4 linked regions of the Xenopus tropicalis genome follow. The protein of the gene in region 3 purifies or fractionates together with the protein of the main gene of each other region. This does not show direct contact. Links are inferred from orthologs where the notes say so. Each region holds a gene or a part of one and is shown on either strand. Other genes may lie near its edges. The genes, in order: arcn1, cope, copg1 and nudcd1.

What was found.
Region 1: the proteins of copg1 (region 3) and arcn1 purify together in Homo sapiens (affinity purification with mass spectrometry; 6 studies listed by BioGRID and IntAct, counting the BioPlex papers as one, with this or other methods). This does not show direct contact. The link is inferred for Xenopus tropicalis from reciprocal best matches to the Homo sapiens genes COPG1 and ARCN1.
Region 2: the proteins of copg1 (region 3) and cope fractionate together in Homo sapiens (co-fractionation; 6 studies listed by BioGRID and IntAct, counting the BioPlex papers as one, with this or other methods). This does not show direct contact. The link is inferred for Xenopus tropicalis from reciprocal best matches to the Homo sapiens genes COPG1 and COPE.
Region 4: the proteins of copg1 (region 3) and nudcd1 purify together in Homo sapiens (affinity purification with mass spectrometry; 3 studies listed by BioGRID and IntAct, counting the BioPlex papers as one, with this or other methods). This does not show direct contact. The link is inferred for Xenopus tropicalis from reciprocal best matches to the Homo sapiens genes COPG1 and NUDCD1.

What each region holds. Positions count from the first base shown.
Region 1 is NC_030683.2:80,550,556-80,558,088, reverse strand, and holds part of arcn1 (coatomer subunit delta), read left to right. Parts: intron 1-688; coding exon 689-952; intron 953-3,193; coding exon 3,194-3,373; intron 3,374-5,281; coding exon 5,282-5,493; intron 5,494-5,632; coding exon 5,633-5,797; intron 5,798-6,450; coding exon 6,451-6,616; intron 6,617-7,249; coding exon 7,250-7,397; intron 7,398-7,533. UniProt on the Homo sapiens protein: Component of the coatomer, a cytosolic protein complex that binds to dilysine motifs and reversibly associates with Golgi non-clathrin-coated vesicles, which further mediate biosynthetic protein transport from the ER, via the Golgi up to the trans Golgi network.
Region 2 is NC_030677.2:112,613,052-112,621,050, forward strand, and holds the start of cope (coatomer subunit epsilon), read right to left. Parts: upstream 4,860-7,999; 5' UTR 4,818-4,859; coding exon 4,719-4,817; intron 4,487-4,718; coding exon 4,424-4,486; intron 3,641-4,423; coding exon 3,540-3,640; intron 910-3,539; coding exon 757-909; intron 1-756. Other genes in the region: probable ATP-dependent RNA helicase DDX49, read left to right, coding at 5,019-5,133, 6,084-6,207, 6,853-6,938, 7,888-7,999. UniProt on the Homo sapiens protein: The coatomer is a cytosolic protein complex that binds to dilysine motifs and reversibly associates with Golgi non-clathrin-coated vesicles, which further mediate biosynthetic protein transport from the ER, via the Golgi up to the trans Golgi network.
Region 3 is NC_030680.2:135,683,042-135,690,574, forward strand, and holds part of copg1 (coatomer subunit gamma-1), read right to left. Parts: intron 5,430-7,533; coding exon 5,377-5,429; intron 4,925-5,376; coding exon 4,844-4,924; intron 3,681-4,843; coding exon 3,609-3,680; intron 3,148-3,608; coding exon 3,068-3,147; intron 2,577-3,067; coding exon 2,501-2,576; intron 2,413-2,500; coding exon 2,320-2,412; intron 1,764-2,319; coding exon 1,677-1,763; intron 1,592-1,676; coding exon 1,434-1,591; intron 1,357-1,433; coding exon 1,223-1,356; intron 203-1,222; coding exon 135-202; intron 1-134. UniProt on the Homo sapiens protein: The coatomer is a cytosolic protein complex that binds to dilysine motifs and reversibly associates with Golgi non-clathrin-coated vesicles, which further mediate biosynthetic protein transport from the ER, via the Golgi up to the trans Golgi network.
Region 4 is NC_030682.2:133,979,683-133,987,035, reverse strand, and holds the end of nudcd1 (nudC domain-containing protein 1), read left to right. Parts: intron 1-4,484; coding exon 4,485-4,777; 3' UTR 4,778-4,917; downstream 4,918-7,353.

The sequences.
Region 1 (7,533 bases), on a different chromosome or scaffold from region 3:
GGGAATATGAAAAAAAATATATATATATGAAAAACCTCCTTGCAAAATCAGTTACTGGATCTGTGACAATGTAGTTTGCCACTAAAGTTTGGATACCTTTGGGCTGTGGAACAGTGAGTATCCTTCTGCCACTGCCATTTTGAAAAAACAGCAGTAGATACCTCTGTCTGTCATTACGTTTAATAACACTCCAGAAGCCATATTGGCTGTGTACAGAACTATGACAGGTGGACCACAGTACCAGAGCTCTAGCTTGGGTAGATGTCAAAGTTTGCCTGTTACTGCAGCCAGTCACCCAGAGTCTTCATCCAACATTATTGGGGTGCTTCCCTGTACTGCACAGTGACTTTGAAAATAGAGTATGTCGAAATAAAAATCCCACTTTATGGAATCTGGGTGTTATACAGTAGGGGTGTCTTCCTAAATGTGCCACCAGTTTGAAGAATTTGGTTTAGCTTTTCCATTTCAGAGCTTGTAAATCTCCGGGCACCAATTAATGCCATGCTTAAAAATAAGGCCCATTTATATAAACTGAAAAACAGGAGCCCCACAAAGCCACATTCTTGTAGAAATAGTAACAACACCATTAATGTGGATGAGAGAATTTCTTGTGAAGCTTTTAAATTCATTTATTAACTACTTGTCTATAATGCTGGCACTAGAATTTACTTTTTCTTTTCTAATTCAGGTGCTGCTGGCGGCAGCAGTCTGCACCAAGGCCGGTAAGGCCATTGTATCAAGGCAGTTTGTTGAGATGACCCGCACACGTATTGAAGGACTTTTGGCCGCTTTTCCAAAGCTTATGAACACAGGAAAGCAGCACACATTTGTTGAGACAGAAAGTGTTCGGTATGTTTACCAACCCATGGAGAAGCTCTACATGGTTCTTATCACTACCAAGAACAGCAACATCCTGGAGGACCTTGAAACACTCAGATTGTTCTCCAGGGTGGTAAGTACAAAACCTGCTCTGATGACTCTAGAATAGAACATGGAAGGGCATTACACTTCTGGGGTATTAAATCTAATATAAATACTAAAGGTATTATCCCAATATCACTAGCTAAACCTGCAAATTTTGAGATGGAAAATACCCCACCCACAAACCATGCTCAGACAGTTAAAACACTAATTTCCTTAAATTCACAACTGTATGAATATAATCCTATAGACAACTATATAATATAAAGGTTACAAGATAAGCATGCCTGTCAGTCTTTGCCTCTGACCTTCTCTGCTAACATGCCTGGCTTTTATAGCCAGCCTCCCCCCTCCATGGTGCAATGATGTGCTTGTTCCTGCATACAAATTTGTGGTCACTCCTACATCCTCCCCATTTAATGATATGCTTAGCTGCTCTTCATCTCCCCTTTCTACAAGCTGACACACCTCAGGACTGTTTATCTTAGGTCAACGGTGACCGCGCACATGAACACTACATTGTGGCATCTATCGGAACATATAATCTCTTTAACATGTATTCAGCATGTTTCATCTTTATGCCTGCACAGACACCAGCCTTTCCAGCTAATATGTTAGCATATAGCAGGAAGGCTATAGTTTTAGGTCTTTACATGGCATTAGGTTGTCCATATTTGTGGAGGTATTATAATGATACTGATGCAAAAGGCTAAATGTCTTCCATTAGCACCGAACTGTTTCTTCTCATGGTGTGAATTTGCTATTGTAGAGGCAACGTTAAATGCCACAGAATACACAAGGGACTCCATTCAAACTGAATTGTGAATTCAAGAGGAAACTTACCTTTAAAAGGACAATATGTTCCCAAGTTTTGCACTTTAAAAAATATGATTGAGCCACCTCTGTATAGTACGTCACAGAGGAGAAGAAAAGGTAAAATCACTTGCCAGTGCCAATTGTTAGTCACCACCAGTGACTATAATTGCTAACCTCATATCCTAAGCCATCTCTTCTTTATAAAAAAAAAAAAACACGTTGGCCTGGAATGCTTTTATGTAGCTGCCACCTTTTTCAGTGCTCCCAGTTTTTCCCTGCGTTTGTTCATTCAGTGCATGCCCTTCCCCCCCCCCCCCTTGAGCACAGAAGGAGATGTTTACAGTAGTGCTTCAAAGTTGGTGAACCCTTTAAAATATTCTATATTAATGTGACCTAAAACATCTGATTTTCAAACAAGATATACAAGTAGATGAAGAAAACCTAGTGAAGTAAATGAAACAAAAAAAAAAGGAAATTATTTATTTATAAAAATGTGAATTATTTGATTAAAGGAGACATAATTTTGTAGGCAATCATGAATAATATATGGTGCTGGTTTCACTTTGGGCTAAAAATGAATCCTATTGTGGCCTGCCACAATACCACACAGTTTCCAGGGTCTTAGTGTATGTAACCTACCTATATACACCCCATCAACTTCAACTATCTCCCCAGTACTCCTCTTACTGTGTATGTATGTATGTATATATATATATGTATGTATATATACATATATATATATATGTATATATACATATATATATGTATATATATATGTATATATATATATATATATATATATATATATATATATATATATATATATATGTGTATATATATATATATATATATATATATATACTGGAATGAGGACAGTACTCCTAGGATTTAAACAATTTTGAGCAAAATGTAAATGTAAATGCAAAAATAGAAAGGTTTATTACAAAAAATGCACTGGAACAAGGACAGCATTCCTAGGATTTAAAGAATTGTGAGCAAAATGTAAATGCAAAGATAGAAAGGTTTATTACTCAACGTTTCAGTCTCACACAGAAACCTGATGAAGGTACGGGACCTGTTATCCAGAATGCTCGGGACCTGGGGTTTTCCGAATAAGGGATCCTTATGTAATTTGGATCTCCATAACTTAAGGCTGCTAAAAATCATTTATATATTATAGACCCAATAGGCTTGTTTTGCCTACAATAAGGATTAATTATATCTTAGTTGGGATTAAGTACAATTTACTGTTTTATAACTACAGAGAAAAAGGAAATCATTTTTAAAAATTAGATTTATTTGCTTATAATGGAGTCTATGGGAGATGGCCTTTTCGTAATTTGGAACTTTCTGGATAATGGGTTTCTGGATAAGGGATCCCATAACTGTATATATTCACTTTCATGCGTATTCCATAATATATGATAATATATGTTGTTGTATGTTCCTACTGTAGATTCCTGAGTACTGCAGAGCTCTGGAGGAGACAGAGATTTCAGACCACTGCTTTGATCTGATCTTTGCATTTGATGAGATTGTGGCCCTTGGATACAGAGAGAATGTGAACCTGGCCCAAATAAGAACTTTCACAGAGATGGACTCGCATGAGGAAAAGGTGTTCCGTGCAGTCAGAGAGGTAAGACTACAAGTAGAGATCTTATCCAGCATACATTTAAGGCAATGACCTACTTGTAGCTTTAGTCAACCCTTCTTGGTGCATATGTGAAATTATTCAGGGTACGAACTATAAATCAATTTATGAAGACCTTTTGAGCGAAATTTCAACACTTTTTTTCCAGTAATTCAGTGTATTAAAAGGGCTATTATGAAGATATGGAGAATGCTTGCGTTAATACCATAATTTTAGAACCAGTATGAATCTTGTTATGCTTGCTTAACTTGGCAGTTGTTCCTTTTGATGGTATAACTGGTTTGTGCTTTAGTTACCAGTAGTGATGGATCTTCAGCGAGTCATAATGTCTACTGATATACATCAGGGAAAATAAGTATTGAACACATCAATGTTTTTCTCAGTAAATATATTTCTGATGGGGCTATTGACTTGAAATTTACACCAGATATCTGTAACAGCCCAAGTAATCCGCACATACATAGAAATCAAAACTAGTAAGTCCATAAAAGTGTAATGACACTGGGAATAAGTATTGAACACACTTACTGAAATGTATTTAATACTTAGTAGGAAAGCCTTTTTAACGACAGCTTCAAGGCGCCTCCTGTATGGAGAAACTAGTTGCATGCATTGTTCAGGTGTGATTTTGACCCCTTCTTCCACACAAACTGTCTTCAAATCTTGAAGGTTTCGGGGGCCTCTTCTATGAACACTGATCTTCAGTTCTTTTCATAGATTTTCAATAGGATTTAAGTAGAGTGATTGACTGGGCCATTCTAGCAGCTTTATTTTCTTTTTCTGAAACCAACTGAGAGTTTCCTTTGCTGTGTGTTTGGGATCATTGCCTTGGTCAAATATCCACCCTCGTTTCATCTTCAGCATGGTAGATGGCAGCAGATTCTTATCAAGAATGTCCTGGTACATTTGTCCATTCATCCTTCCTTCAATTATATGAAGTATGCCAGTACCATATGCTGAAAACAGCCCCTCACCATGATGTTTCCATTGTGTTTTTGGGGTGATGCAGTGCCATTTCTCCTCCAAACATGATGTGTGCAATGACATACAAAGAGTTCAATTTTGGTCTCATCTGACCAGACTATATTCTCCCAGAATTTAATTGACTTGTCCAATTGTTGTGCGGCAAACCTTAAGTTGAGTTTTAACATGTTTTTTCTTCAGCAGCGAAGTCTTGCACAGTGAGCATGAATAGAGGCCATGTTGGTTGAGTGCATTACTTATTGTTTTCTTTGAAACAACTGTACCTGCTAATTCCTGGTCTTTCTGAAGCTCTCCGCAAGTGATGCTTGGTTCTCGGACAACTCTTCTTTCTATTCCAGTCTGTTTTACAAACCATTTCCTGGTTGCTAGAGTAAATTGGATCCTAGCAACCAGATTGCTACTGAAATTCCAAACTGTATTAAAAAGCTAAATAAATCAAAAACCACAAAAAATAAAAATGAAGACTAACTGCAGGTTGTCTCAGAATATCTGCATTATACTAACAATGTATTTGAAGATAAACTACCCCTTTAACATGGGGGTTTTAGGTAATTCAGTAAAACATTTGTTTTCTTATCTTTTTTACTTATGGTACCTAAAATCTGAGTGCTCCATTTGCAGTGTTACATTTTAGTATAATTTTTTTTGTTAATTTCAAACATTTTACTCTTCTGTGCATTTGCAAGTGTAAATCTACTGAGTTACAACTAATATAAGAAAGATGATGGTGCTGCATTACTTATTGGATTTGCTGAGGGGTGCCAAACATTGGCACCCCCAATGAAATTTCTTTCAACTGACAAAAATAAAATGCAAGCCTTTCGCTAAAGCATTTTTAAGAGTAAAACTGTTTTCTGTTATATAGATATTGGAGTTATTCATGCACCTTTCTTTCTGCACTCTTTACAGACACAGGAAAGAGAAGCCAAGGCAGAGATGCGACGCAAAGCCAAGGAGCTTCAGCAGGCTAGAAGGGATGCAGAGCGGCAGGGCAAGAAGGCTCCTGGATTTGGAGGGTTTGGAAGTTCGGGTGGTTCCTCCATGTCTAACAATGCAGTTTCGCTGATTACAGAGACCATTATAGAACCAGAGAAAACAAAGAGTGCCCCTGTTCCATCACGGTATACAAGCAAAATACAATTGTAAAGTGTTATTGCAAACCAAATGAACTGTATAATATTTAAAATGATGGAATGGGAATTGTAGAATTATGGCTTTAAAAAGGTTTTTATGTGCAACATATTGTCTTGCCCCCTGTAGGCCATCTGGTTCTGGCAAAGCCCTGAAACTTGGAGCTAAAGGGAAGGAGGTGGATAACTTTGTGGACAAATTAAAATCTGAAGGAGAAACTATTGTCACCCCTTCATCTGGCAAGAGGCAGTCAGAAGTGGCCAAGGTGCTTGCTCCTCCCGTGAACATGGAGAGGTCAGTGTTGGGAATTTATGGGGACAGGAAGTCTGATATTTTGTAATATCAGTTGTGGTGAAAGAGGTTTTATCCAGTATTTTCTTTGTATATATAAAAACAGTTATTTATGCTCAGTATTTTGCATTTCTTATAGAAATTAGATTGTGTGATTTAAGTGGGAAGAATTCAATATTTGTTTTCTCAACATTTGAAGAAAGGCTAGCAAAGGCAGAACAATCAAAACTTCACAAATTATTACAAAAGGTGCGATTTATTTGATGACCGTATCCCTTTAGCATTCACATTTGTTGAGAGGGGATGAAATGCACCATTTTAGAGAAATCCATTTATTGATTAAAAGCTCTATTCTCTGTTATAAACTTCTATGCTGTATGTATACAGTTTGCAACAGCTTTTTAGATTTTTATGTTCGAGCTGCCTGTAGCAAACCAACATTTTGGCAGCTTATTATTTAACATGTTATAAATTGTTGGTAACCACTCTCATGTTAAAGGACTTACCACAATAGCAAACTTAGTAAAACTTTAGTATTTTGTGCTAGAATCCCTACCTCTGCTTTGCATCTCCCAACAGGGTCTTTGATTTTTCTTTTGGTGAGCAGATTTGTGCTGTTTTTGACTTCTGAGTATATTCTTTATTTTCATCTACAGTGTTCACTTGAGGGTTGAAGAAAAAATTTCCCTTACTTGCAGCCGGGATGGAGGACTTCAGAATATGGAGGTTCACGGGCTGATTATGCTCAGAGTGACAGATGATAAGTTTGGCAGGATCCGTGTGCACATTGAAAATGAAGATAAAAAAGGAGTACAACTGCAGGTTAGGAAGCATCTGTATTTGAATTACTGAAATAAACTGTCTTTCATGGTTCACAAATGGATTAAAGGAAAAGTCAATCGAAAATATATTTTTTTGCCTGATAAAAGAAAAAATTGTAAGCAACTTTGCAATATACATTCATTACTTTACCTTTTCTATTATTTTCCCTGGTGGCTCTGGCATTTGAAACAATGTAACACATGCCAGCAGACTGACAGACCTGTCTTGCTGGAGCAGACTGACCTTTGCAACATTGTTTAAAAAGTAAATGCTGCTTTCAATAGCAATTTAATTTATAAAATTTTTCAATTAAAAAAAAACTTTCACATTGGAAAGTTGCCTGGAATTATGTTTTCTTTAATTAGGCAAAAAAATTTTTTGAGGGTTTTCAAGTCCTTTAATATGAGAATTGAATGATCAAACAAGTATACTAAACATTTGTATAACATGCTTAGTACACTGCTTTACAGTTGTACTGAATAGTGCTTGTTTGTAAATTAAATGATTGGTTGCATGGCTGAAAAACTAAGAGCTGAAGCTCCAGTTTTAAATGGTCAAAACTTTTTGTAGACAGTCTAAGGTTATGGATGGCTGCTACATATTGTTTTGTATAACTTCGCTTTCTTGTCTCAGACTCATCCCAATGTGGACAAAAAACTTTTCACTTCGGATTCGGTAATTGGGCTGAAAAACCCAGAAAAATCCTTCCCTCTGAATAGTGACGTGGGTGTCTTGAAGTGGAGACTGCAGACCACAGATGAGTCTTTTATTCCCCTCACCAGTAAGTACTGTGTTTTAACATTCAGTGTGCTATTATGCAGGACAGTATTAACTGCAGATCCTTTCATGTACACTTTTACGTGGTTTAAGGTTGCAGACAGGACATCCAAATTCAAACTATAGTCAATTGTTCTAAT
Region 2 (7,999 bases), on a different chromosome or scaffold from region 3:
ACACAGCATTATAAATATACCCTTAGGAGTCGGAGTCAGTACATTTTTGCCAACTTTGGGTACCCAAAATTGCTTCTGATTTCAACTCCACAGCTCTGCTCTTAAAATTAAAAATGTCCAAAAACCTCTGTGCTAAAATGTTTTAGTGTATTTAAACTGTGTTTAAATGAGGTCTATTGGGATCTAATTTCCAAAGGTCACCAGTATACCACTTCCTACTTATATCATTATATATATAAAAAAAAAAATTATATATAAATAGATAATGAGGCGCAGAAAAACAAACCCACTCTTTCTACTGACTAGGTATATAACATTTTATTGCATCTTGTTTCCTTATCTGTATGTTATTGTAGTTTAAGAAACAGTACTTAGTGTACAAATGGTGCTATACATTATCATTTCTACAGGAAAACACAAAGAAACTTCACAAAATCTGACATACAGATGAACACACTTTGTGCACCAGCCCTTTCTCAGAGAAAGGGCTGGTGCCCAAAATGTTGCCTGGTTTGTTCGCACAATAACCATTTTTCAGAAGAATCGGCGTGATGCAGCGTGTTTATCTGTGAGTTATATTTAATCCTTGGCTTATCCATACTCTCTGCACAAAATCTGACATATATATGAAATGCATTTAAAATCTTTTAGGCAAACAACTTCAGCATCACAAGGCAGATAGGCCAAAGTAAAATGGTAGAAATACAAGTAAAGTAATTTTAAATGTGTAAGTGAAGGAAAAATAAATTGACATACCATTCCAGGCTGTCTCCTTGGTGTAGGGCTCGCAAGGCTGCATCTGTGTTGCCATCATGGAAGTAAATTGAAGCGGCCATCAGCAGGAATGTTGAATTAGTTATATCAACACTTTTTGCCATCTTTTTGTCAAGATCTGAAACTATGGCATCTCTAGAAATTAAAAAAAAAGATAATTCAAGGGAAAGATTTTGACAAGTTTAATACAAATGTATTTATTTTGAACATAGCTCTCTACATTAAGTCAGATCCTTCCTAAGACAAGATGTTGAACATGCTGCAGAAATCAAGCCAGTGTAAAGCTTTGCACTTTTTAGTATATACTAAGTCTTCCTACTCCTTTGATAAGGAATCCAGTCAAGGAACTGTCTAATATACATGCCTAATTGATTTCCATTGGAGGCAGAAAGCAAGAAGGCAGAACTTAATGCCCATGCTAGATATGTTAAGGGACTTTAAAATAAAAGGACTACTTATTCTATTAAGACGTTTAGAATTTACAACAGTGCATGTGGCCACTCTACATGACTGAACATGGGGAGTAGTTGTACCTGAGTTTCTTTTGCGCTCACTAGAGAGAAATTTAAAATATTCATTTTAGACTGGTATAACTTAGCACTATAATCCAAGTATTATCAAGAATATACATTTGCTTCAGAATGTATATCTAAAATACCTACATTTAAAGGAGAAAAAAGGTAAAACTACTGGGGAGTGGCAAGTTGCCTATTACCCTGAGTGAGTGTATGTGTAGTACAGAAATTCTTTGTTGACTGGGGAAAAAAAAAAAAAACAAAACACTCCACAGTGGTTTTAATCTTTCCTTCTCTTTTAGATATCTTTTATCATTTCACTAAGGGAGGGCTACATTTTTTCTTTGAATTGTGACAGATCAACTATTTGTTACAGACCTATCCTTTCTAGAAAAGCTGTGAACCTATAGTATGTATGATAAAAACTAAACTAGTTCATTAATTAGTCTTCAACAGTCTGTTATCCTAAATTTATAATATAGTCTATCCATCAATATTTCGAGATATCTCTGCAGCTGATTTTAATTTATTCATTTTTGTTTCTGAATTACTTAATATTTTATTCTTTAGCTCTCGATTTTGGAATTTTAGCTTTTATCTCATTATTAAGTTACCACTTAAAGTGCCTATAGAAAGAAACACTTGCTACCAACTATTCCACTTCTGAGCAAGTCAGCAGCCCAACTGGCCCGTGTTTAGGTCAAAAATATTGCCTTTCCAGATCAAAATCTGATTAAAGGACAAGGAAAGGCTGAGTCACTTGGGGGTGCCAAAATGTTAGGCACCCCCAAGTGACTTTAATTGCTTACCTTGTACCCCGGGCTGGTGCCCCTGTTAGGAGAAAACAGCACCAGCCCGGGGTACCTGTAGCGAGCGGTTCCTCCTTCCTTTTGCCGGGACCCCACGACCGGCGCATGCGCAGTAGATTAAAAATTCAACTTCTCTGTTAAAGTTCAGCTTTTTCACTCGACTGCTCATGCACAAACACGCGAAGCAGGAAGCGCTGCAGCTACCCCGGGCTGGTGCTGTTCTCCCCGAACAGGGGCACCAGCCCGGGGTAAAAGGTAGGCGATTTAAGTCACTTGGGGGTGCCTAACATTTTGGCACCCCCAAGTGACTTTGCCTTTCCTTGTCCTTTAAGCTTGGTCAGATATAATACCCAGATTTCTCATTTACTTACTACACTGATAAATCTAATAGTCAGTTATACAGCACAACCCATTAGGGGAGCCTACGGTAGTGTATGAAAGTTAAAAGCAGATGTATCAACACTTGCAGAAGGCACATACTGAAAAAAGTGTCCTCCACTCAAAAAAATAATCATTAAGAAGAAAAGTCACATAACTTATCCTGATGCATCAAGCTAAGCTGATGTAATGTTTCTTCTAATTAGTAAATTAAGTTTATATGAGCCTGGCCTATGATATAGATTTTTGTTCTTGCCCTCTACAAGTTTGGTATATGCCCTCCCCAATCTGAAGACTCTGAAAAGCCAACCTGTTTACTATTTGTGGTTGGATCTCCCCTAAAAGTTTTAGGGAATGATTTAATAAAATTTTTTTTTTTTCTGGACTTGAAAGTAGTATAAACTCGACATGGTTTAAATTCTAATTAAACTCGAATTAAACTTGATCATTGTTGTATTTATAAAATGGGAGTTATTTTCGACAAACTCAAATTTATCAGGGAAAATTTCTGAAAAACTAGAATTTTTCGAGAAACAATATCAGAAAAATCGAGCACTGGCAAAAACCCATTCGTAAATCTCAACAGAAGTAAAAAAAAAAAAAACAAAAATCAACTGTTTCTTAAAATGTCTTAGTAAATGTGCCCCCTAAAGTTAATATATTTATAGGGAGTGCAATGGTTCTAGACCTCATTTCTTGAAACCCAAATGATCACATCTGGTAACCGTTTTAGTTGTATAGGGTCAAGCGAGTTTCTGGTAGTAGCCATATGCCAGTTGTTCTGGTGAGAGCCACAGAGTGGGACAATATAACGGAGAGGCATAGGGCCAGATTTATCAAAATGGGAGTTCAAAGATTTATACATAAAAATTCACCCATGTTCTTTTCATTCCTATGGGATTTTTAGAAGCATATTTATCAAAAGGTGAGTTCTAACTTTAGCCCATTGATAAATATGCTTCTAAAAATCCCATAGGAATGAATAAAAAGTGAATTTTTCTGTAGTGAGCTCTAATCTCAAATTTTGATAAATCTGCCCCCTGGAGATGTAGAATGCACATACCTGCGACTCTCATTGGACAGATACTCTGCAAACATTCGGACAGCCTGTAATTCAGGGTTGGTATTTGGCCGAATTTCATCAAGAACAACCCCATACTTGCGCTGCATGTGGAAAATAAAAGGTCATAAGACCAGGAAGAAATAAGAAGCTTCTTTTACTTAGTTATAAGTGCAGGAGGAAATAAAAAGCTTATTTTACTTATAGGTATAAGTGCAGGAGGAAATAAAAAGCTTATTTTACTTATAGGTATAAGTGCAGGAGGAAATAAAAAGCTTCTTTTACTTATAGGTATACGTGCAGGAGGAAATAAAAAGCCTTTTTTACTTATAGGTATAAGTGCAGGAGGAAATAAAAAGCTTCTTTTACTTATAGGTATACGTGCAGGAGGAAATAAAAAGCCTTTTTTACTTATAGGTATAAGTGCAGGAGGAAACAGAAAGCTTTTTTTACTTATAGGTATAAGTGCAGGAGGAAATAAAAAGCTTCTTTTACTTATAGGTATAAGTGCAGGAGGAAATAAAAAGCTTCTTTTACTTATAGGTATAAGTGCAGGAGGAAATAAAAAGCTTCTTTTACTTATAGGTATAAGTGCAGGAGGAAACAGAAAGCTTTTTTTACTTATAGGTATAAGTGCAGGAGGAAATAAAAAGCTTTTTTTACTTATAGGTATAAGTGCAGGAGGAAATAAAAAGCTTCTTTTACTTATAGGTATAAGTGCAGGAGGAAATAAAAAGCTTCTTTTACTTATAGGTATAAGTGCAGGAGGAAATAAAAAGCTTCTTTTACTTATAGGTATACGTGCAGGAGGAAAAAAGGCTACATTCACAATACTAATGACAGCTGGGTGAGAATAATGTATGATTATAATACAGAGTCTCTCTCACCTGGGCTATATATGCTCTGAACAGGAAAACGTCTCTCTCCACCTCCTTCTCTGGACTTGAAGGCTGTAAAATAAAATATTCCCACGTTACTATTTGATTATCCATCTTACCTCAGATTGTTAGCATGAGAAAAATAATAGATGTTATTGTGCCTGATTCAGTCATGCATGCTGTCGTTATATTTGTTCAATACGTATGCCCAATTTAAAAAGATTGCTGCTATGTCCACTATCCATATCCCTTCAGCCATAACTCCACGCCTCTCTGACCCAGTTTGCTGTAATCGTTAAATCACCTTTACTCTTTGCGCCTCATTAATGCACTGCTGGTAACTTCCAATATAGAAAGAATTCTTCACATCAAATAACTCGTCCACCTCTCCCTGTGCAGCCATTTCTGTATATCCCGGACACGTCAGCCGGCCAGCTTCCACAACTTCCGCCTTCCTTTACCGACTTCCGCCTCTCAGCTAAAGGCATGGCGGGAGATGTAGTACCAAAGGTCAGTTCCCGTAAGGACCAATAGAAGGGCGAGTTGTGTGACGCATTAGTTTGTGCGCCGGAATGTGCTGCTAGTGGCTATCACGCGTGTCAAGATGGAAGGGTTTTCGAGGCTTGGGTTGTCTTCCTGGCTTATCGATCAATGTAGCCAACTGGGCATATTGAAACCTAGTCCTGTACAGGAGAATTGCATCCCGCCCATCCTGGAAGGTGAGATTAGTGAATGCGAATATGATTCTTCGCGATTAAGGGGGCAGATTATCTGAGTTGTCCAGGGTGAGCAAGTCATCTACATAAGTGTTACAAATCATCTGAAAAACCAGTGATCAAAAGGTAAATGGCATAACTATATGTTAAAGGAAAGCAGCGCTAAATTTGCGGGAACCCTAACATTTAGGAGTAAGATTTAATTTAAATGTATTAATCTTCTTTTTTGTCACTGTCCCACTGGTCCCCTTTTACCTTCTGGCCCCCCGGCAGTCTCTTGAAGCGTCAGTTTCCTCCATAGTTACATTCCTATTTATAAATATATTGTGCACAGTTTTGCTTGTACCTAAGTTCGATTCATAATAATTGCATTCATCTAAAGGACATGTAAACCCCACACACAAAAATTTAATCAGTGAACAGCCTCTTTGAAATCTTTCAATACCTGCCACTCTGCTTGTCCAGAGGTTAATAGTAAGGCTGCAACATCCCCTTAATCACTTAGATTTCCTTCTCCTCCTGTAACCCACTCGCCCCCCCCCCCTTGGGAATTTGCTTTGATTCCTGCCTTGCCAGACATGCTCAGTTGTACTAAACTCAGATTACAAAATACGCCCTCCAGTCTAGCAGCCAGTGAAGAGATGGCATTGCTGGTTCCCATAGAAACTCAGCTCTAGCTGTCTGCTTCAATTTTTTCTCCTAACTTTCTCTCCTGAGCTCAGCTCAAACAAAGCAGAACGTTTATCAGACAGTTCTGCCTCTGTGAGCCTGTATTATTGATGAAATGTATGCTGAATAAGGGTCTGCGTGTGTATGCTGTTTGCAGATTTAAATGTATCTGATTATGTATCAGAGGAAAAAAGCCACCTGGTAAAAGGTCAACTATCCATTAACATCTGCACAGAAAATGTATTGTATTTTGTTGAGAACTCATGAAGTTGATGTCCTGTTAGGCCGAGACTGCATGGGATGTGCAAAGACTGGCAGTGGAAAAACAGCTGCCTTTGTGCTGCCTATTCTCCAAAAACTCTCTGAGGATCCCTTTGGAATATTTTGCCTGGTTCTGACACCAACTCGGTGAGTACAGATGCTATTATAATAGTTATTGTATAATTTTCTCATTAAAGAGAAAAAAAGTAATATTGTGGTAGAGCAAAAATTATGGTCTTTCCCTACAATGAACAACAGATGACTTCACAGTTTAGCTTCAGATATTTTACATGATTTTTTTTAGTAGACAAAGTAATATCTAATAATAATGATATGTAGCCCCTGTTAACCTTTGTAAGGTTTTACAGGTCTTTAACACAGGGATACTGAGACATAAAGGCATAGATTTCAAAGAGGGAGGAAAACATTGTAGAAAGATTCTTAAGAAAAAAAAATCTACACATGTATGTATGTATATATTGTTGCTTTGTGAATAATTCTTAACATCCAGTGCACAGCTATAGCCAGTTGTCATTCGTGCATAATCTAAACATAAGTTGCCGGTCTTTAAATTTAGCTTTATCTTCCTCTAGCAAATGTTTGAAATGGATTACAAATGTCAAGTATATTTAGAAAATACAGACTAATTTGTCGTCAGATTAAAACTGTGGTCACTTGTAGACAAATATGTTAAAGATAGAGATCTTTACGAGACCAAAAAAGAGAAACATTTACCAGCAATATTTTTTATATTTCTCTTTATAAGATTTTTTTTTTAAATTTTATTCTCAGAGAACTCGCATATCAGATTGCAGAACAATTTCGGGTCCTAGGGAAGCCACTGGGCTTGAAGGATTGCATTATTGTTGGTGGAATGGGTATGTATCCTGGCTTATCCAGTTGTAGCAAATGTATGAAATATGGTAATGTCTTTACATAAGGTCCAAGAAGGAACTGATCCATAAAAGTAAACTATATAACTGTAGTAGCTAGGGATGCACCAAACCCACTGTTTTGGCTCTGACCGAACCCACCCTGACAGATTCTGCCTAATCCCAAACTGAATCTGAATCCTAATTAGCATTGGGAAGGGTTAAAAGTTGGTACACGCTACAATTTGGCGTGCCCCTACCGTTTAACCCTTTCCGAATGCTAATTTGCACCTACTATTGAGGGAGCAGAATCCAGCCTTTTTTTGATGATTCGGTTTCAGCCGATTCCATGGTCCCGGACGTACCGAATCCAAACTAGCTAGTTCGGATTCGTTACGTCCGGGACCGTGGAATCGGCTGAAACGGAATCATCAAAAAAAGGCTGGATTCTGGTCCCTCAATAGTAGGTGAGACACACCTCTGTGCATTTTGCATCCATTATACATACCACAAATACTGTAAACATATATCACAATTTAGCAATGATTTTGTATGCATGTTGTTTGGGTTTTAGCATAAGTACAGGAAGCCAGAGTGACATTTTTTAATGTTCAGCAGAATATGGATTAGATAATCTAAATGGCTGTTACTTCCGTGAGAACACTGCTTTTGTTCTAAATCTGTCTTTTTCCTTTAAAAGGGTACAGTCATTGTCCAGAGCCCTAGTTAGGTAAAACAAAAGCTCAGCAACCTATAGTTCTTTTGCTGTTGCTAAAGTGTGGTTATCAGCTTCCCACAACTGCCAAGAGAGATCATGGGATTCTGACATGTAGTTTAACAATAGGTGAAAAAAATCATATGTTAAAAATGAATGAATAGTGGACCAAGTCAGTGATCATTTCATTTTGTTTTTTAAGTAGTCATGGTTTGCCTATTAGCTCCAATTTCTCCACAGATATGGTAGCACAAGCTCTGGAGTTGTCCAGAAAGCCACATGTTGTGATAGCCACACCAGGCCGACTGGCTGACCACATCCGGAGTTCAAACACTTTCAGCATCAAGAAGAT
Region 3 (7,533 bases):
TTTCTTCTGTAATTATTAAAAAAAAGACCAATATTCCACCAAATATGGTAATTCTGGTGAAAATCACTCTAGAGAAGCCTGCTATATGTGTTTTCAAGAATTACTGTAACCTTAAAAAAATATAAACACACTACCTTATTAAGAGTACGGACAGCAGCATATCGAAGGGCAGCTTTTGGGGAACTGCAGAACAGCTGCAACACTAAAGGATGAAAAGAAATGTAACAAATTAATCAAATACTTTGTTTTGTATAAGATCCTGAAAATGATTCTTAATTACGTGTTCAAAAGAACATTATATTGACCATTACTAGTTAGTAAACCATGTTTTATTCTATAGGATTTTGTTCCTAAATAAAACAAGATACACCCATACATGAGATATGTTTTTGTTTGGTAATGCAACGCGTACATGCTACCATTGTCTTAGAAGCTAGTAACTAGAATCACAGTTTTATTGTTGTCTCTGGGCGATATTTAATTGCAACGTAGCTGATTAAACAGAAAACTGCCAACATATGACATATCAGCGCTGTACAAGAGGTGTATATAATGAACACACATGATAAACATACAGGTTACACATGAAAAAAAACTGAGGTAAAAGAGCTTACGGTTAATATTGAAACGTATGCAAAAAAACACAACTATAGGTGTTATGATGACACTGGGGTCTTGCTGAGCTCTGCAGTGCACTACCTAGTTAAGGGATGGCTGATGTGTTGCCTACATGCCTCCCAATGCTTGCCCTACAAATATATCTTCATGAGGGAAGCTTAGGTCCTTGCTCTCCAGACCTATAGTCAAATGCAGGTCACTGGGAAATGGTGCAAAGCAGCAGATTGCTCTTTGTTTTTGGACCCTGCCCCACCCTTAGCATTTCAGCCCTCTTGCGTTTTGCTCAAAATGCCTTCAAACTGTAAGTAATCTCTACTTATGGACAGCAAATGTGCACAGTGCAGATCACCTAGACATTCAGATTTTATTGAAAATTTAGTTTAGAGTAATGGCACAATTTGGGGCATTTTGTTATTTGTTCAAAATAGCACACTCCTCAGTGATGTCAATGACAATCTTGAGGGAAAAAATGCTGGCATTGGCCGATTTGCGGCGTTTTAATCATGCAAAACAGTGGTAGGCACACACCCAAAATCCCTATATGTGTGTATTATTTGGCGGTTGTTAGATTCATCTTTTCACCAATTAAATTAAAAGAGCTTACCAGACACAGCGGGAGCAAGCTCTTTGGCAGTGCAGGAAGGTAGGTTCACAATAGCTGAAGCAGCTTCATAGACAACCATTTCATGCTTGTTTCTCAGACAGCTCTCAATAAAATCAAACAAAGGACTGTCCCGACTAGGAAAGAAAAAATTGTTAAGCAGGCACTGTAAGTATCTATATTAATTTGTAGACTTTAAAAACCACTTAATTACCTCCCATCCTCTTCATCCAACAGCTTGCTAGCCACACGAATCATCATGCAATAGGCAAATGGGGACTTCAGACCATGACGCATAAATTTGCTCAGCATCTTGTTAACAGACAGCCGGTCATTTTTTCGCACGTGGTACAGCAGGCCCAGAGCATGATACTGTGAAACATTAAAGGGCAATGAAATGTGAATGCTAGTAGGGTCAGAAATACTATATGAAAGTTTGGTGTCAGTTTGCACATACCTGAACCATTATATTATCACTGGAAGCTGCCTCTTGAGCCTCATTTACCCAACGTTTGACTACGTCAAAACTGGTTTTCAGTAGGTGCTGCAGGGAGAATAACACGGCATGGGTTATGTTTGTAAATAAAAGGGGGCTTTTAGATTAGATAAAAACAAAGGGGGAAAATTTATCAATGTATATATTTTTTTACCACTCAAAAAAATGTCCAAAACCTGTTCCCTTCATGAGATTCATATCAGGGATTATGAATGGTGTTTAACTATTTAAAGAAGCTAAACACATTCTGACAAATTGACATGTAAAAAAAGGGAAATATGGAGCTTCTGGGTTTTACCCTACTATTTTTTTCTTTTCACCATTTTAGCAGATTATGGCATACACTGGCAATAAATGTACAAAATTGGCAGCTAAACATCTGTATTTACTACAAAGAGTTATTGCACTAAATTAGGAATTAATTCATCAATCATCCCACTTGGAAACTCTGTGAGACACCCCATAGGCCAATTTTCAACACGGGCAGGTTAGAACAACCACAGTGTGACTTAAGGGACATAGTACAACTACAAGATAGTTGCTAGATACACATTAATCTGAAAAAGATTTAACATCTCAATATGATTAAATAAAAAGTATTTACCAATGAGGAGACGAGGGCAGAGCTGGACACACTGGATACTTTGTCTACTATGGCCTGTTTCATGTAACGTTCAATGGCCTGTAGCATGGTACTCTAAAATAAGAAAAACTTAAAATTAGAGCTTGCCTAAAATTAGCTGAACCAAAGGATTCTAAGCCATTTAACTGGAAAAGAAACATACATCTGTGATTTTGCAGAGTGCTCTCACAGCTGGACCTCTGTAGCTGTCATCCTTCCCAGTCATATCTTTGGTTAAACTACGTAACAAAAAAAAATAACAAAAGTTAAAACAAAAAGGCATCGTACATTTAAAAATGGACAAAATAAAATGTTGGCATGCAGTGGTATTGACAGAGTACTAATACTTAGGGGCCACTACTACTTAGACAACTGGCAAAATTGGCAAAGAGGAGCAGAAATATGGACAGAGTATTTTTATGGTTCAGAAAGAATGCTACATATTTTTATATCCACACATATATGACTTATTGGCTGCAATCCAAAGAATGATCTTTTCTTCTAAATAATACCTGATTTAATACAAAAAAAACAGTGCTAAAAATTCTAATATGGGGCACCTGCACCAAAAGGTTATGAAAAATATTTACATGAAGTACAGCTAAATGACTGCTGTTACATGTAATATACTCGGAAACCAAACACCTTCTAAAATATTGCCACTCCGTAATGAAGCCAAAAGGCAGAATGTTTGTTTAGTTCTAATTAAATGGGTTGTTTGCCAACTCACCTACTCGTCACAATAATTACATCCTCAGAAATGCTTGACATCTCCTTTATAGTGAGGTAACACATTCTGCGAAGTGTGGGCTAAAGGGTAATAATAAAGGTAAATAAAATTTGAATTTCAACATTATATATGCCAAGGCAGTTAGGGTTAACGTATTTGCTTTCATAGATATTCATGCAACTATGGCTAAATGGCTGATATAGAAATGTTTTTATATATTTATAACCTTAATAAGAGCAATGGGATTCTGGCAAAACACTGAAACTGGAAAAAGGTTAAACTGAAAAAGTCCAACGAATACTGCAATAATAGAACTTTATGACAGATCACTGAGAGAACATAAAATTTTTATGTTCTGCCTGAAACAATGACTGTGTTTGCCTTCAAGCACAGACTCAAGGTATTTCCCACTACAGACATTGAGAATATAACTGGTAAAACTTCAGTAACAAATTGGTATATGCTTTATATTCCACTAATCATATTTCTGCCTGTCCTTCCAGTTATGATAGACATAACAATCAAGAGAAAAGGTACATACATCGTTTGACTGGAACAGTTTGGTCATGGCAAAGAAAGCTTCTGTTGCTTCTGTGGCACCCATGTGCTCACCCTGGTAACAAAATACAAAGTTACTGTAGGTACTGGAAATCATGTTTGATTCTACTTATAACTCTGCATGAACATGGGGACATGCACAAAAAGGCAAGACTAAACATTATGTACCCCTTCTAATCCTGCTCAGGTTAAAGAGATGCTTATGCCAGTAACATTATCAACTTAACACTTAAGTAACATTTACTTGGTTTGTTCATTGTAATCCAAGAAACCCAAGTATCTGATTCTTGGCAGTACAGCTGCCTTAATTTCAAAGCTGGACCTGTTTAGGAGGCTTAGAACGTTGCTGAATGCTTGTGCAGGGAACATGGACAGCAACCCTATTTCCTAAGCAAAAATAAATCCTAAGCACCAAACCTGTACACCTGATGATTTAAGCTATGATTTGGAATGATGTATGGATGAAATTTTCACAAGACTAGTTCTGTAACTAGCGTGGTCATTGTAATCTTTCAGACTATGGGCTAGGCACCAAATTAGAGCTACATTTGAGTGAGAATGCTACACTGCACGCAAAGAGATGTCAAAGTAGGTGTAGACTTTCATTAATAAGGTTTTAATAGTCTAACCAGAAAATGTATCTCAGTAGTGGTAAACTGACTGTTTTGATTTGACAGTCCCACATAATGCTGTCTGAATCTGCTACAAGATGTATAGGAATTGTACATCCCCTGGGTGCTCAAATCTGTATCAAGGTAAGTGGGGTCCTTGCTACACAACTAACATACACAAATACCACCACCAGAAGGTGATGCTAAATAATAGGTGACCCTATGGTAGTTCAATAGCTCTGCAAATCAGTCATTTAGCCATCAGTAAAAAATAAATAAATACAGGAGGAAGACATACTGGACACTGTTGGTGTAAATGATGAAATAATGATGTAGTAATATGCCATTTGTATAAAAAGACCCTCTTTGGCCTGCTCTAAAGCCAACACTATGGGGCAAATTTACCAAAATGTGAATTGAGAACTAACTCACCCACGTTCTATTCGCTCTTATGGTATTTTTAAAAAATATTTATTGACAGGTGAAAGTTAGAGTTCACTATTTGATAAACATGCTTCTAAAAAATCCCATAGGAATGAACAGAACGTGGGTGAGTTTTTATATATCAAGACTCATGTACACAGAGCAAACTGTATGTTTCACGTACCTGGTTTATTAAATATAGTATCTTCGTCAAGATGTGAGCACATTTTCGAGGGTTAATTGGAGTCTCGTTGAACAGACGAGCCTATAATTCAATGTGAAGGTACAACAGAAAATTCATTACTGAAGGAATTATTTTTCTATATGCTGGATTGCAGACATGATACAACATAAATTCACAGTTGTAGACAAGCTTACACTGCTGCAAAATAAATGACAAATAAGGAGAACTAATGAAGAACTGTGGCCTGTAAGTTAGTAATTATTATAAAATTGAGGAAAATGAAAAAACTAGTTCCAGTATAGGCCACTTCAGCTGCAGAACTACAACTACCAGAAAGTCACTGCTTAATCCCCTGTAAGTGAGATGAGGGGGAGCACTTGTGCAACAGTCAACATGAAAAAGCCCTAAATTGATCTTGAGTCTATTTGGAAATAAAATGCTAGAGGGTACAGAGATGGTCATATGCCAACTTTCACATTTACTGCTGGCAAATTGAGCACCATAAATAAATACACAAAGAGTCAAGGCCTTACCTCCTGGAGCACTGCACTCTTTTCAAGGTTCTGGAAAGGGTTGGAGCTGCCCCCTGGAATAGTTAAAATAAAAACTTTTAAAACTTATGTAAATTAAATGATAACATAGGCACATTATTTAAATAAATGCAAATAATGTATTGCAAATCATGTAGTGATTTCAGGCTTTCTACACTTGGGTTGATTAGTAGGTTGGTTTTAATCCTAGCCCACAGCATGCATTAATAATGAGCAGGTCAGGAAAAGCTCCACCCTGACCCCAAGTCATAAAATACTGCCATTGTAGGACCCGCACCCAACCTGTACCAGTGTCTTTCCACTCCGTACACTACTTCTGAGTGCGCCTCTGGTTTTAAGAGAGGAACACTTCTGAAGCAGAGGAGGCCTGTACTTCCCCAGTCTGACCTGCACACAAAATTAAGTTATGTTTTAAAATCAAACTTGAAATAAATACTAGACACTATAAAAAGAAAAAAGAGCAATAAAACTGCACAGTGTATCTGGTTACAGTGTCAAAGTTAAGTGACTACCACACCACATTTTTTTAGTTGTAGGCTGGAAAGAGAAAAAAAAAACAAAAAACATACAAACACATAGATAATGAAGACCAATTGAAAAGTAAATTATACTAAGTCTACTCAGGGCCACCATGAGAGGTAATCCTATCAGGGGCCCTATGGTAGAAGGGTACCCAACATGAAGATGTGAGTCTAACATGGAGTGGGCAAGGTTTGTTCATACTATCGGTGAGGTTTTGGCATAAAGGGGTGTGGCTGATGCAGATAAGCGGCAATAAGCCCCATTCTATTTGCTGTCATGGCTCACCACCCAGAGGCCTACTTGGCAGTATGCGGCCCATTAATTACTGATGACAATATCAGGGTAGTTTCAGTAAGGTATCCACAGGCGTCATTATAGGACCTAGATCATACAAGTACTGGCTTCCAGGGCTGTGGAGTCGGTAGATAAATTCTCCGACTCCGACTCCTCAGTTTCTGATACTTCCGACTCCGACTGTTTTTAATATGCTAATGTATTTTATACATTCATTGAATGAAAGGAAGGAGACATACATGTCATTTAACCACAGAACTACTGGCTCTGCATTGGGCTTTATTCTTATAGCAGAGAAGTAATTAATTATGACTGTTTGTGAATTGGGACATTTAAACTTGCTTTTTTTTTTTTTATTCCCATTTAAATTTAGTAGGAGTCAGAGTTGGTTCATTTTTTGCCGACTCCAGGTACTCAAAATTGCCGCGGACTCCAGGTACTCAAAATTGCCTCCGACTTCAACTCCACAGCCCTGCTGGCTTCTTTGATGTACAATGGAAGAGACTTTTGTTTATTGGTTAAATAATAATATATCTAGATGCTGATGGGAGATAAAAAGCCTTAAGGAAAACTGCAACATTCTTAAATTTATAATAAAATAGTACAAATGATAAACAGCACATACAAAACTGCGGTGCAGTTGCTGATGGCAACAAACACAGAGCTCTTACATTGATGTACAAACATATGGACGGAATATCACTAAAATAACTTCAGCCTTAAGGTGCCCATACACTATAAGATCCGCTCGCTTGGCGATGTCACCAAGCGAGCGGATCTTCACCCGATATCCCCACCTACGGGTGGGCGATATCGGGTAGCAAGGGACTTGAAAAAAAAATAATCCGATTGTTCAACAATCGGATTACATTTGAGCTTATGGGGCAGTCGGTTCGGGGACCGCATCAACGAGCCGATGCGGTCCCCGATCCGACCGGATTTTCTAACCTGGCCAATCGAGATCTGGCCAATTTCAGGCCAGATATTGGTCGGCCAGGCAGCTCTGTTCTGCCCATACACGGGCCGATTAGCTGCCGAATCGGTCCAAGGGACCGATATCGGCAGCTATAGTCGGCCTGTGTATGGGCACCTTTAAAGAAGGTGCTTAATTACTCAGCCCTGGCAAATACAACATATAATACAGAGCTGAACCATACCTGCTTCTCTCTAAATGGATTAGGCCATGCCATTTTATGTTTACACCCTGCGCCCATTTTGCACGTGTGCATTCGGCATGCAAATTTTCACAAGGCATTTTTCCCACATACAGTTTTATATCTATAACCTATTGGTATCGGGGGGTTAATATGATTCAAAGCATAC
Region 4 (7,353 bases), on a different chromosome or scaffold from region 3:
CCTGAGGATTTAAGAGGTGTTTCCATAGACTCTGGGTCCTACTGCTACGTACATTCCAGTTGTAATATTTAGAAGTGCAAATTGAGGATTTTTTTTTTTTTTTTTTGAGACATTCTTTTAGAAGAATTGCTACAAATCCGCACCCAGGAGCTAAGGATATTAATATACAAATGATGCATTTTCACAACTCGTTCTATTGCAGCTGAAAGGGAAATTGACATGCTTTTTAAAATGATCCGTATGTTATTATTTTGGTCCAACAGAGAGTGGGGTAAAACCAAGGTGGTGTTTCCTGTGAATAGCATGCAGATCATTTTGTTAAATACAGGTTTAGCAGAGATGGAGGTTGAGTTGTCACTGCATATTATCAACTCGCTGTGGTTGTCAGTGCAGCAACAGGGCGATGGGTTTTAGACGGGATCTGACTGAAAACCGCAGGCGGAGAGAAGTGGAGTAAACACTCCATGTAACTGGGGCCAAAGAGACAAGGAAATGCTTTATCACTGGCAGTGCCAATTGGTTAGGTTCCTACTACGCTTTTATAATCTGTAACTGGACCAGTACTCCACTAAAAAAAAACACCAACTCATGGTAGTATTCTAGTGAGCACCATGCCACCATTTTGTTTCCTGCCCTTGGGATCTTCACAGATGCTCTGGACTGGGAATAAGCTAGCGACACTCACTAGTTCCCTGGGCTGGATCATTTAATGGCAAAGAGGAGTGCAGGCACATAGGGCCCCTCATGATTAAACATTTACACAATATAAATAATGCTATAGGGCAGGGATCCACAACCTTTTTCTACTCATGAGCAACATTTAGATATAAAAAAACGTTGGGGAGCAACACAAGCATGAAAAAAAAGTTCCTAGGGGGTTCCCAAAAAGGGCTGCAATTGGTTATTTGGTAGCCCAATGTGGACTGGCAGTACACATGGTTTTATGCCTCCAAAATTTGCCTCCAAGCCAGAAATTTAAAAATGGACACCAGCTTTGAGGCCATTGGGAGCAACATCCAAGGGGTTGGTGAGCAACATGTTGTTCCTGAGCCACTGGTTGGGGATCACTGATATAGGGTCAGTAGCAGGAAAAACAAACTGCTCAGTGTAAACCTATTGATGAAATCTATAAATACAGTTGGTATCTGTAAACAGCTAATAGTATGGTCATACTTACACTTGCCAGTGTGTATTTTTTCTATAAGGCCCTGACCCCATGTTGTTATTTACAATACAATGGGGAATGTATAGGCCTGTCATTAAGAAGTTTCAAATGGGGACATTCTTACCATGGTGAGAACCTTGTCTCGGGCAGCGTTTAAATGGCTTGTTCACCTTCAAATTAACTTTTAGTGTGTTATAGAATTGCCTGTTAGCAACTTTTCAATTGGTCTTCATTTTTAATTTGTTATAGTGTGTGAATTATTTGCCTTCTGCCTCTTTACCAGCTTTGAGTTGGGGGGGGGAAGGTGTTCACTGAACCTGGCAGCCAAAAACAATTGCCCTGTGAGGTAACACTTTTTTTAGTTATTATTACTTTATGTTCCTATTTAGGCCCTCCTCAATTCATATTATATTCATAATTCATATCTGTCTCTCTTTCAAACCACTGCCTGGTTACTAGGTTAAATTTTACCCTAGCAACCAGATAGCTGCTGGAATTCCAAACTAGAGAGCTGCTGCACAGAACTAAATCATTCAAAAACTGCAAATAATAAAACATGAAGACCAATTGCAAATTGTCTCAATAGCATTCTCTACATCACATTAACCCCTTTAGGTGCCAAATTTCCATACCCCAGAAACTCCCCAATCCAGAATAGATAGGACTGGAACAACGCCATTGGTTTGTAGAATGTTTTCCTGTTGAATTTAAAGAGAAATTAGAGAGCGTGAGAGTGTTTGACCCACTTTTGACGCTTCCAAGCTATACAGTATATTGCTATTGAATAACGGTTCTTCCTTTCACTATAAAGCAACTTATTGTTAGTATAAACCTATAAAAGCCAATCTATTTGCTCGATGAAGTGGGTGTTGAGCTTTTTACACATATTGAAATTTGTATCATTCATTTCTGACAACCCATAGTTTCTCTGAACATTTGAGCTGACAGAATATTTTCCTTGAAACATTGGAAAAGCAATCGGATATTACTACTCTTTTTTTAATGTTTGCTTAACGAAGCTGCCTTGTCGCACTCATTATTACTGCAAATTAGGCTTCAGAAAAGTCATTACATGTGGCTCTGAGATACTGTGTATTGTGCCTTATGAAAAGAGACTAATGGAAGCCTGATTAGCACTCGGCATTACTTCTCTGCTTTCCCAGCCTTTCTAAGCTTTTGTGGAAAAATGTTTTATTGTATAGCGACTTTAATGCACACAGTGGATCAGAGAGGTGTGAAAGGACAAACACACCTGTTAGAATACGTTCCTTTAGGGTGAAGACACATGGAGCTACTAGTAGCAGCTACTTGTCTTGGCTACTAAAACAGACAATGCTGATCATTTACTGATAGTTGTCTCTACGTGTGCTTTAGCAGAGGCAATTCTCAATATTGTCTATGGCAGGGGATTTTCTGGAGTGTAGTAGCTGTGACAAGTAGCTGTGACAAGTAGCTGCTAAGTAGCTAAGAAGCTCCATGTGTCTTCACCCTAAAGGTGGAAAGCAAAAAAATTCACAGCTGCGCTCAATTTTCGGTGGTGCAAAGTCTCCTAGACGTATGGCAACGAAGGGAGGGGAATACAAAGGGGCCTAGGTACAAACAAAGCTTTACAGGTGGTAATCACAAGTGGTGCTCCAGTTTGAGTAATCCATACCAACCAATAAGAAGATGGTATTTACTGACTTACTGTATGCTGATTTTTCAACATCTTGGGTTTATTTATTGCACAAACCAGCCATGCTCAATCACATCCACCCTGTTAAGTAACAATTACTATATACTTAGTATGGCAGCTACGAGGAGAGCACACAGAGCAGGATTGCAGGATGGTACAAAGCAGGATGGCTGAGGTAGTCGGTTCCCCACTTTTAGAGGACCTGGCTGGATGAGAAGCCCAGGTGGGCTGAGACTATATAGCCTGGAAGAATGTAGCGCCCTCAACGGTTTCATTCCATCAGTTTAGAGTGTGCATTCTGCCCATTACAAATTCTTTAGCCTCCCCAAACTTGCTTGACAGTTAAATAAAATAAAAGGTAAAACAATGAAAACTATGAGGCAAACGTTTCTCACCCCCATCCAGAAGCCTGCTACTCTAAAGGATCTTTACCTAGAACTTCTGACAAGCAGCAGTTGAGAACTCTGCTCTGATTGGTGGGAGATTCAGTGCTTTGCTCACAGTAGCTGCTTATCAGAGGTTCTAGGCATTGGGCACAGCCTTCCAGATGGGGGCGAGTAAAATTATTTTAGGCTCCATCCACCTTTCCCTAATCTGCAGCTGTCGACATATATATTTATGAAGAGTTCACAGGGGGTCACGCTGAGTGTCCTTTATTAATTATTTGATTATTGAAACTTAGCAGTAGCCGCTGCATTTCCCCCCCTAGGCTTATACTCGAGTCAATAAGATTTTCCAGTTTTCTTAGGTAAAATTAGGTACCTCGGCTTATATTCGGATTGGCTTATACTCGAGTATATATGGTAATCCTTATTGGGGGCAAAACCGTCCTATTGGGTTTATTCAATATTTAAATGATTTTTAGCATACTTAATTTACGGAGATCCAAATTACGGAAAGATCCCTTATCCGGAAAACCCAGGTCCCGAGCATTCTGGATAAGATGTCCCATACCTGTACTTGATCCCAACTAAGATATAATTACCCCTTATTGGGGGCAGAACAGCCCTATTGGGTTTATTTCATGGTTAAATGATTCCCTTTTCTCTGTAATAATAAAACAGTACCTGTACTTGATCCCAACTAAGATATAATTACCCCTTATTGGGGGCAGAACAGTCCTATTGGGTTTATTTAATGGTTAAATGATTCCCTTTTCTCTGTAATAATAAAACAGTACCTGTACTTGATCCCAACTAAGATATAATTAATCCTTATTGGGGGCAGAACAGCCCTATTGGGTTTATTTAATGGTTAAATGATTCCCTTTTCTCTGTAATAATAAAACAGTACCTGTACTTGATCCCAACTAAGATATAATCAATCTTTATTGGAGGCAAAACAATCCTATTGGGTTTATTCAATATTTAAATGTTTTTTTTAGCAGACTTAAGATATGGAAATCGGAATTACGGAAAGATCCCTTATCCGGAAAACCCCAGGTCCCGAGCATTCTGGATAATAGGTCCCATACCTATACATAAATTTGTATTCAGTTACTTTTCTTTTACCTTCGAGGTGGCTGTGTTTTGTAACGACTGATTCGTTGTTTTGGTGTTTATACCCAATAAGTGAATAATAGAACCCAACTGAAAAGATTGATGTTTCTTATGATTATTTAATGTGTCTGTGTTTGTACTACAGGATACGTCCAGGCATCAAAGCAAGACAAGAAGTTCTTCACGTGTGCGCCCAATTTCTCCTATTCGGCTCTGTGCGAATGCGTGCGCAGAATATTCATCTATCGCCAGCCCACCCCCGTATCCACTGAGTTGTACAACCGGAAGGAGGGTAGGAGAGTCGGGCAGGTTGCTAAGCAGCAGGTAGCCAGCCTGGAAACCACAGATCCCATAGTAGGATTTCAAGCCTCCAATGAAAGGTTATTCGTTCTAACCACAAAGAAATTATCTGTAATAAAGGTAAACAGTACAGATTAATTAAAGAGTGCTGCTGACATATTGTCGCAGTTCAGTAAAACCGAACATTATGCTTCTTTTGTTTTTCTTAAAGAAAGAGACCATTTTTATTGAATGAATTCATTACCTACCTGCATTCCAATAAAATATGTCAAATATAAGTCCCTTGTTTTCTGTGCAATAAGGCAAAAGTGCTAAATATGTTCATAAGGAACCTGCTTATTTATTCTTTTCAAAGGGGGGTTCACCTTAAGTTAATTTTTAGTATGTTATAGAATAACCTATTTCTAGCAACTTTTCAGTTGGTCTTTATTATTTGAATTATGTGTTTTCTGCTTCTGACTCTTTCCCACTTTCAAATTGGAGTCACTGACCCCCGGTACCCACAAAACTGCTGCTCTGTGAGGCTACAATGTTGTTGTTACTTTGTATAGATTATTTTTCTATTCAGGTCCTCTCCTATTCATAAATCAGTCTCTCATTTAAACCTCATTCTGGTTACTAAGGTCATTTGGACCCTAGCAACCAGATAGCTGCTGAAACTCCAAACTGAAGTGAAATAATTAAAAAGTGAAATAATGAAAAAACTAAAGATATTAAAAAAATGAAGACCAGTTGTACAGTGTCTCATAATATTACTGCATCATACTAAAAGTTAACTCAAAGGTGAACAGCCCCTTTAACAGAACACTTAAGAGATCATTCTTAAGTTGATCATTCAAATCAGTCCCCAGTGTTGATTAAAAAGTTCCTATCATATTCACTCATTATGGTTAATTTCTTTAGGAGCTCTGGACACACATACTGTAGATACAGGGGTTAGAATTGAACTCGGGACCCCGGCCAAGCAAATGAGTAGTGCTTAGCACTGTGCCATCCTTGGCTGCTGTAGCAATTTGTACTCGTTTATTACTTATCCAGAATGCCCGGGACCTGGGTTTTCCAGATAAGGGGTCTCATAATTTGGATCTCCCTAACTTAAGTCTGCTAGAAATCATTTAAACCCAATAAGATTGTTTTGCTTCCAGTAAGGATTAATTATATCTTAGTTGGGATCAAGTACAGGTACTGTTTTATTATTACAGAGAAAAGGGAATCATTTAACCATTAAATAAACCCAATAGGGCTGTTCTGCCCCCAATAAGGGGTAATTATATCTTAGTTGGGATCAAGTACAGGTACTGTTTTATTATTACAGAGAAAAGGGAATCATTTAACCATGAAATAAACCCAATAGGGCTGTTCTGCCCCAATAAGGGGTAATTATATCTTAGTTAGGATCAAGTACAGGTACTGTTTTATTATTACAGAGAAAAGGGAATCATTTAACCATTAAATAAACCCAATAGGGCTGTTCTGCCCCCAATAGGGGGTAATTATATCTTAGTTGGGATCAAGTACAGGTACTGTTTTATTATTACAGAGAAAAGGGAATCATTTAACCATTAAATAAACCCAATAGGGCTGTTCTGCCCCAATAAGGGGTAATTATATCTTAGTTGGGATCAAGTACAGGTACTGTTTTATTATTACAGATAAAAAGGAAATCATTTTTAAAAATGTGAATTATTTGATTACAATGACGTCTATGGGACATGGCCTTCCTGTAATTTGGAGCTTTCTGGATAACAGGTTTCATATAACGGATCCTATACGTGTATGTGTCAAAAAAAGGTAAATCGTTTAAAGTAGTCTTCTAGTTACTTACTTCCTACCCCTGGTCGATTCCCCTCTTGCACCCTCTTAGGGAACTTTACCTGTAAGTGCTGTGTGCCACCTGTACTTGATCCCAACTAAGATATAATTACCCCTTATTGGGGGCAGAACAGCCCTATTGGGTTTATTTAATGGTTAAATGATTCCCTTTTCTCTGTAATAATAAAACAGTACCTGTACTTGATCCCAACTAAGATATAATTACCCCTTATTGGGGGCAGAACAGCCCTATTGGGTTTATTTAATGGTTAAATGATTCCCTTTTCTCTGTAATAATAAAACAGTACCTGTACTTGATCCCAACTAAGATTATCGTTATTGGAGGCAAAGCAATCCTATTTAAATGATTTTTAGCAAACTTAACGTAGGATATCCAAATTGCAGAAAGATCCCATATCCAAAAACCCCAGGTCCCAAGCATTCTGGATAACAGGTTCCATACCTGTACATAAAACATTATATAATATAATTAAGTACAGAAAAAAAGATATCAGATAACATTTTGACCTATAAATAGCTAGAGGAATTGCTGTCAAGTGCACAGCAATACAAGATATGATACACAAAATTATAACCTGAGAAAAGTTGCTCCATTAATATCACAATCTTGAATTTCATAGAAACAAAAGATAATAGCTGTGAAATGAACCATAATCAGACAAAAAAAAAGATCTGTTGATCTGTACAAATGATATATTCTTAGTTCATGAACAGCTTACAGGTATGTACAGATGAGACATACAGGGAGTATGACATTCCGCCCATGAGTGGTCTGTTCCAGAACCATGGTTATTCCAAGAAGATTGTCCGTAAAGCACTTGAGTAAGCAAAGAATAAAAGAAACCTGGGACAAAGTGACGGAAAAGGAAGATGAAAGGAGA